Ovis aries: one gene and its partner. The protein of the gene in region 1 binds, or shares a complex with, the protein of each later gene. Links are inferred from orthologs where the notes say so. Each region holds a gene or a part of one and is shown on either strand. Other genes may lie near its edges. The genes, in order: MAP2K1 and KSR2.

What was found.
Region 2: the proteins of MAP2K1 (region 1) and KSR2 are in contact, whole or in part, in a crystal structure (PDB 7UMB), measured with the Homo sapiens proteins. The link is inferred for Ovis aries from reciprocal best matches to the Homo sapiens genes MAP2K1 and KSR2. Residues at the interface, in NP_002746.1 of Homo sapiens: Val81, Glu102, Met219, Ala220, Asn221, Ser222, Phe223, Val224, Gly225, Thr226, Arg227, Ser228, Met230, Arg234, Leu235, Gln236, Gly237, Met308, Ala309, Ile310, Phe311, Glu312, Leu314, Asp315, Val318, Asn319; in NP_775869.4 of Homo sapiens: Lys674, Arg818, Asp820, Lys821, Leu822, Arg823, Ile824, Gln825, Asn826, Ile837, Arg838, Gln839, Leu840, Ser841, Pro842, Gln877, Pro878, Ala879, Glu880, Ala881, Ile883, Trp884, Gln885, Gly887, Thr888, Met890.

What each region holds. Positions count from the first base shown.
Region 1 is NC_056060.1:13,282,675-13,286,487, forward strand, and holds part of MAP2K1 (dual specificity mitogen-activated protein kinase kinase 1), read left to right. Parts: intron 1-1,631; coding exon 1,632-1,842; intron 1,843-3,104; coding exon 3,105-3,251; intron 3,252-3,813. UniProt on the Homo sapiens protein: Dual specificity protein kinase which acts as an essential component of the MAP kinase signal transduction pathway.
Region 2 is NC_056070.1:57,629,216-57,633,028, forward strand, and holds part of KSR2 (kinase suppressor of Ras 2), read left to right. Parts: intron 1-432; coding exon 433-800; intron 801-3,813. UniProt on the Homo sapiens protein: Location-regulated scaffold connecting MEK to RAF. Has very low protein kinase activity and can phosphorylate MAP2K1 at several Ser and Thr residues with very low efficiency (in vitro).

The DNA of each region.
Region 1 (3,813 bases):
CGGGGGAGCCTGGTGGGCTGCCGTCTCTGGGGTCGCACAGAGTCGGACACGACTGAAGTGACTTAGCAGCAGCAGCAGCAGCAGCAGCAGCAGCAGCAGCAGCAGTAGTATATGACCTTACTTAACCTTGATTAGTTTCTAAAAATCCTCTCTCTAAACGCTGGGGGTTAAGGTTTCAACTTACGGATTTTTAGGGGACACAGTTCCGTTCATGGCACCAGCCTTCTTCCCCGCAGAGTTACCCAGTGAGGAAGACTGGGAAAATCAGCCCCCTGTCCTCTTTGGCCCCGTGTACTGTGTTATTTGTAAGGCAGTACTGCAACCTCCCATACACTGGGGAGGCATAGGGTCTCCCTCTCCTTTTTTTTTTCTCCCTCTCCTTCTTAAGGTTTGGAACATAATGTGAACGAAGAGTCGAAGATGATGCTTGCTCTTACCCTTCAAGCTCAGAGTGGTGTGCCTGTTGAGGGGAGGGGTCACCAACTTTCTGATGTATAATGACTGCCTGTCTTATCATCCATGTTGTTTGTTTAGACTAAGGACAAAAATGAAACAGTAGAAGCGCTCCTTACCACCCTTCTCTTCACAAGCTCCTGGGAGGTAATGAGCACTTTTTAGTTCTTTATGTAAAACACACTAGCAGGCTGCTCTCTGCCATACCCACTCACTCTGGCACCCACTGGTTGAATTATGTGCTTACCAAGAGATGATTTGTTCTCAAAGTCCTTTGTACAGTTATAGCTGGAATTGTAATTTATGTATTTAAATATAAGATACACTGATGAAATATGACTGCAAACGAAGTGGTTTTCTTTTTTCTCCCTCTGTGAATACTGGTTAAGAGCTGTGGAAAGATTCAGTAAGTCCAAGTCAGTAAAAAAAAAGAAAATACTGTCAAATTAGGCGAGCATTAAAATGGGAGAAAGTCATCCGACTCTTAAAGTTTTATTAAGAGTATTCTGTTGGCATTTTTACTCCACTTTAAAGAATTTGGAAATGATGGGCGCTGTGCTCTCTTCTGGTTCATGTAAGAAAGGTGATGTGGCGCTCTTACTCAGAGAAGGTGGTGAATGAATGCACTTTTATGTTTGTTGCAAAAATAAAAATTTTAGGTATATCCCATTTGCTCTGTTTTGATTCACCTTGTTCCTGGTCTGATCACATAGAGAAGAAGGGTTTCTGTTGTGATTCAGGTTAGAGCCTGTTTCGATGATGTGCTTTGGTTTCAATTTAGTGATTTTAGGAAATAGATTGTATTTTGTTTATGGTGTTGTAAAGCCACCACTCGTGGGACTTTTTGACACTGGGGTTTTAAGGCAGAGCAAGGTGGCTCACTCTGGATTTTAGTAGATTCTGTGGTTCCTCTCGTAGGCCCAGAGCCTATTGAGAGAGAACTCATTCCCTTATTTTACAAACGAGGAGACCAGGCCTTGAGACGGGAAGTGTGTCTGTGGTGAGCCGTGAGGGTGGTGGAGTGGAGGGGGCAGAGCCGCAGCGGGTGAGACCCTCCCCGAGCCGCCTCCTCCAGCTCTCCCTCTGGCCCCAGCGCTGGAGCTCTCCACAGCAGGAGCGCTCCTCCGGGTGAGGTTCTCTGATGCCAGTGTTGACCTGTGCTCCCCGCTTTGGGACAGGACCAATCTGGAGGCCTTGCAGAAGAAGCTGGAGGAGCTGGAGCTCGATGAACAGCAGCGGAAGCGCCTCGAGGCCTTTCTGACCCAGAAGCAGAAGGTGGGGGAACTGAAGGATGATGACTTTGAGAAGATCAGTGAGCTGGGTGCCGGCAATGGAGGTGTGGTGTTCAAGGTCTCCCACAAGCCGTCCGGACTCGTTATGGCCAGAAAGGTGAGGGCACTTTAAAAAAAAAAAGGGCTGAATCAAGCTTGCCTTGGTAGACAGGTAATTGGATTATCTCTTAGAAGACCTAGGGGCCTGGAGACAAGGGTGGAAAGAAAATTGACTTTTCATTCAGTACCCTTTAGTGCTTTTTGAAGTTTGAATTCATGTTATCTGTTAGATTACAGATAAACACACTCATGTTGTGTTAGTGTATTTATCCCAGTCCCCAGACTGGGAAATAATAGCAAGGGACCCTTTGTTAGCTTTCTGGGTGCTCTGGAAAGAAAGCTGAGATGCTCATTTGCCATTTTTCAAGAGCAAGGGGTGGCTCCATTTACCCAGCTCCAGGGGCACACCAAACATTGGCTTCGTGTTGTTTCTCCGAGCTCCACCCCTGCCCATGCTTCCCCTTCATCTCCCTGCAGTACGGCATCTTGGCTCCCCACCCTGGCATGCAGCCCTTGAGCTGGACTTCCCGCCCTGGTGAGCCTGAGTCCTCCTCTTTCCGGACAGCAGATTTGGACTCTTCCATGTTTTGCAGCACACCATGTTCATTTCTGTCCACGTATTTTTGCTCATGCTGTTTCTTCCATCTTTTCAAACACTTCCCATCTTCAAGGCCCACCTCCTGTCTAGCTTTCACCAGCGCCCACGCTGATAACCGCTGCTTCCGTGTCTTCTGACACTCATTGTCCATGGCTCTTTTTAGAAGCTCAGCCTTATTCGGTAACCATTTCATGTTTTTGTCACCTGTCTCCTCAGCTGAAACAAGGCACAGCATGGCGGGGCGGAGATAAGGAGGTCCCCTGGGCCTTGGCTAAATCCCAACCACATCAGGCTCCTAAGGTCAAGGGGAAGTATCCTGGGCAGCTTAGATTGGCAGACCCAGTTCCTCATACCTTTCTGGTCCTGCAGCCCTTGGGTATCAACCAAGCCTCTAAGGCCACTTGCCCTCATCTCTCAGCTTCCCAGGTCCTTTTGTTCTTGGGAGCGAAAGGGCCCCTCTTCTTCAGTCTTGGGTCCTGGGAGCGGAGGCACAGCTGTCCCTCCCCTGGGTACAGCCCCTCCAGTGCCAACACCTGCCTTGGTATGTTGGCACTCAGTATTCTAGCTGGCCAGTAACCTGTTTGCTGAAACTTGCCTGTTTCCTCTCTTCCTACGTCTAAGAGCTTAAGCATTTAAGAAAACTTCTGTCTGTCCACCCACCCACCCCTCCATCCATCCATATATGTTTAAAGCTTCTCTTCCTTGGACCTTTTTTTCCTCAGCTAATTCACCTGGAGATCAAACCTGCCATCCGGAACCAGATCATAAGGGAGCTGCAGGTTCTCCATGAGTGCAACTCGCCGTACATCGTGGGCTTCTACGGGGCCTTCTACAGCGACGGCGAGATCAGCATCTGCATGGAGCACATGGTATGTGGCAGCCTGGCCGCCTCTGAAGAGCGGCCTGGGAAGCTGGGGGCTCCGGTCTGACCTTTGCTCTGAGATGTGACCTGAACGATTGCTTCCTTGTTCCTCCCTGGATCCAGATCACTGTCTGGGGCATTTAGGAAACCTGACTGTAGAAGTTGGATTAACCAAGAAAATGACAGGCCTCCTTCCTAAGTCCCTGTCTCTTCAGAGAGGTGGCAGCAACCAGGTGTCCCTAGGTTGTACTTGGAGCACATCTCTCAGTTTTCTTGATCCCAAGATTTTGATGTGGGTAAAGCCTGGTTAATGTAGTTTAAACCCATATGTTACATGCCATGCTGTGTACTAGGTACACGGTTCATGGGTTATGAAGATGAGTGAAGAGTGGGTGAGGCCCTGCTTTCAGAGAGTTTATCACTTGCTATAAGAGCAGGGTTAGCAAAATTAATACTGATGAACTAATAGTTATTGGGTATATATCATATTAAGCGCCATCCTAAGCAAATTAATATTATATTTCTACAAACACCTTATTGAGCTGGGTACATTATCTGCATTTTACAAG
Region 2 (3,813 bases), on another chromosome or scaffold:
TTGTCTTTCTTACTCCCATATAAATAACCAGACAAGTCAGAACTTCATGGTCTAGTAGGAGGGCATCGAATATTAGGAGTCGGGAGACCTGATTCTTAACCCTTGCTCTGCCTGGCGGCCTGACCAGAGCTAGGCACTTCCCACAGGGACCAACCATCCCTGTCTGCCGGTTTCCCAAGTGTGAGACTGTCAGTCCCCAAATGGGCAAAGTCCTGGGAAACCAGGATAGGTGGTCCCTGCCCCCCAGCATTTCCTGTCTCTGAGCTTCAGTTTCATGATCTGCCTTTCAGCATCTTCACTTCAGCACAATGATAGACAGGAGGTACCTGGGCAAATAGAGACACGTGTGCACCAGCGGGCAACACACAGCGGGGACCTGGCGGGCAGGCGGGATGCTGACGGGAACTGACCCCTCTCCCGCTCTGGCCGTAGAATGAGGAGGGCCACGACGAGGCCGAGGAGTCGGAGGACGACTTTGAGGAGATGAACCTGTCCCTCCTCTCGGCCCGGAGCTTCCCACGCAAGGCCAGCCAGACTAGCATCTTCCTCCAGGAGTGGGACATCCCCTTCGAGCAGCTGGAAATTGGCGAGCTCATTGGGAAGGGCCGCTTCGGGCAGGTGTACCACGGCCGCTGGCATGGTGAGGTGGCCATCCGGCTGATTGACATCGAGAGGGACAACGAGGAGCAGCTCAAGGCCTTCAAGCGGGAGGTGATGGCCTACAGGCAGACGCGGCATGAGAACGTGGTGCTGTTCATGGGCGCCTGCATGAGCCCGCCCCACCTGGCCATCATCACCAGGTCAGTCCCGCCCGGGTTCCCCACCACCATAGTCATTCCCAAAGCTCTGCTTCCGGCAGTGTTGAGCAGCGGGGGTTCTGGTAGATTCAACATTCTGGTAAATAGAGAGTCTGGCTTTACCAATCACAACATCTATGGTTTGAAGCTTTGAAATTCCAGAAAATGCTTTTTGTGCTATAACTCTGGTTGAGAAGTGCTCTGGAGAGAGCTCCCTGTGGGAAGTCAGAAAAGCTGGTATTGAACCCCCTTGTGCTCCACATTTGTGAAAAAGCATCTTTGAGGCTCACTTTCTCCAAATGTAATTGAATGGATTAGACTAACTCGGGTGTCAGCTAACTTTTCCTGTAAAGGACCTGATAGTGTTTTTGGCCTTGCAGGCCATAAGGTTTCTGCAGCAACAGCTCATCTCTGCTACTATAGTGTGAAAACAACCTCAGATAAACTATAAGTGGATGTCTGTGGCTGTGTGCCAATAAAACTTTATTAACACAACCAGGCGATGGGCTGGGTTTCACCTGCAGACCCTAGTTTGTTGAACCCGGATCAACATTCTGATGACTTATTCTGGCTTTCATTAAAACAGCAGAGCACATTTGTAGGGCTCCACCATTGTTGTTTTAAATATTCAGGATCCATGGTCTATAGCTATATAAAAGGGGTGGTTAACAGAGAAGTGACATTAGGAACATATCAGATGTTGGGAACTTTTTTGGACTTGCTGTCTCTAACCTCACACAGCAATGTAGGCATTGGAAAAAAATAACTGTAGCTTCAGTTGAGCAGTTGTGGAACAATCTTTTGATGTGTTTTTAAGCTGAGACCTTTGCTCTCCTATCACTTAGGACTAGCTACAGCATCAGTGTTCTTGGTGTGGCCTGTGATGCCAAGGGTCCATTAGGAGTCTTCTCATTCTTAATCTCAATACAAGCAGTAAGATCCCAAGTACGCAAGCCTTGCATCTTGGCAAGTGCTATGGTGGGAGCTGTGAGCTCAGGGAAGATCGGGTATGTCTTTGATCTATTCCCTTGTGATCCATACAAACCCTCTTTGAGTCCGTTTGTAAGACCTGGGTGATGGGTAGAAGCTGTGTTATCATCTGTCACCATTGATTATGCAGCTGGTGGGTTGACTGGAACTTGTGTGTCAAAAGGTAAGTGCTTGCAAAGGATTAGAGATCTAAGGATGGCCCTTCAACCCTTCTTTAAACCAAGGTAGAAATTGGCAGCTCTCACTTCTACACATTCAGGTATGACCTAAGTCAAATCCCTTATGATTATACAGTGGAAGTGAGAAATAGATTTAAGGGACTAGATCTGATAGACGGAGTGCCTGATGAACTATGGACAGAGGTTCGTGACATTGTACAGGGGACGAGGATCAAGACAATCCCCATGGAAATAAATGCAAAAAAGCAAAATGGCTGTGTGAGGAGGCCTTACAAATAGCTGTGAAAAGAAGAGAAGTGAAAAGCAAAGGAGAAAAGGAAAGATATAAGCATCTGAATGCAGAGTTCCAAAGAATAACAAGGAGGGATAAGAAAGCCTTCCTCAGCCATCAATGCAAAGCAATAGAAGAAAACAACAGAATGGGAAAGACTAGAAATCTCTTCAAGAAAATTAGAGATACCAAAGGAACATTTCATGCAAAGATGGGCTCGATAAAGGACAGAAATGGTCTGGACCTAACAGAAGCAGAAGATAGAAGAGGTGACAAGAATATACAGAAGAACTGTACAAAAAAGATCTTCATGACCCAGATAACCATAATGGTGTGATCACTCACCTAGAGCCAGACATCCTGGAATGTGAAGTCAAGTGGGCCTTAGAAAGCATCACTACGAACAAAGCTAGTGGAGGTGATGGAATTCCAGTTGAGCTCTTTCAAATCCTGAAAGATGATGCTGTGAAAATGCTGCACTCAATATGCCAGCAAATTTGGAAAACTCAGCAGTGGCTGCAGGACTGGAAAAAGTCAGTTTTCATTCCAATCCCAAAGAAAGGCAATGCCAAAGAATGTTCAAACTACCACACAATTGCACTCATCTCACGCACTAGTAAAGTAATGCTCAAAATTCTCCAAGCCAGGCTTAAGCAGTATATGAACCATGAACTTCCAGATGTTCAAGCTGGATTTAGAAAAGGCAGAGGAACCAGAGATCAAATTGCCAACATCCACTGGATTATTGAAAAAGCAAGAGAGTTCCAAAAAAAACATCTATTTCTGCTTTCTTGACTATGCCAAAGCCTTTGACCGTGTGGATCACAATAGACTGTGGAAAATTCTGAAAGAGATGGGAATACCAGACCACCTGACCTGCCTCTTGAGAAACCTATATGCAGGTCAGGAAGCAACAGTTAGAACTGGACATGAAACAGCAGACTGGTTCCAAATAGGAAAAGGAGTACATCAAGGCTGTATATTCTCACCCTGCTTATTTGACTTCTATGCAGAGTACATCATAAGAAACGCTGGGCTGGAAGAAGCACAAGCTGGAATCCAGATTGCCGGGAGAATATCAATTACCTCAAATATGCAGATGACACCACCCTTATGGCAGAAAGTGAAGAGGAACTAAAAAGCCTCTTGATGAAAATGAAAGAGGAGAGTGAAAAAGTTGGCTTAAAGCTCAACATTCAGAAAACGAAGATCATGGCATCTGGTCCCATCACTTCATGGCAAATAGATGGGAAACAGTGGAAACAGTGGCAGACTTTATTTTTGAGGGGCTCCAAAATCACTGCAGATGGTGACTGCAGCCATGAAATTAAAAGACGCTTACTCCTTGGAAGAAAAGTTATGACCAACCTAGATAGTATATTGAAAAGCAGAGATATTACTTTGCCAACAAAGATCCATCTAGTCAAGGTTAGGGTTTTTCCAGTGGTCATGTATGGATGTGAGAGTTGGACTGTGAAGAAAGCTGAGTGCCGAAGAATTGATGCTTTTGAACTGTGGTGTTGGAGAAGACTCTTGAGAGTCCCTTGGACTGCAAGGAGATCCAATCAGTCCATCC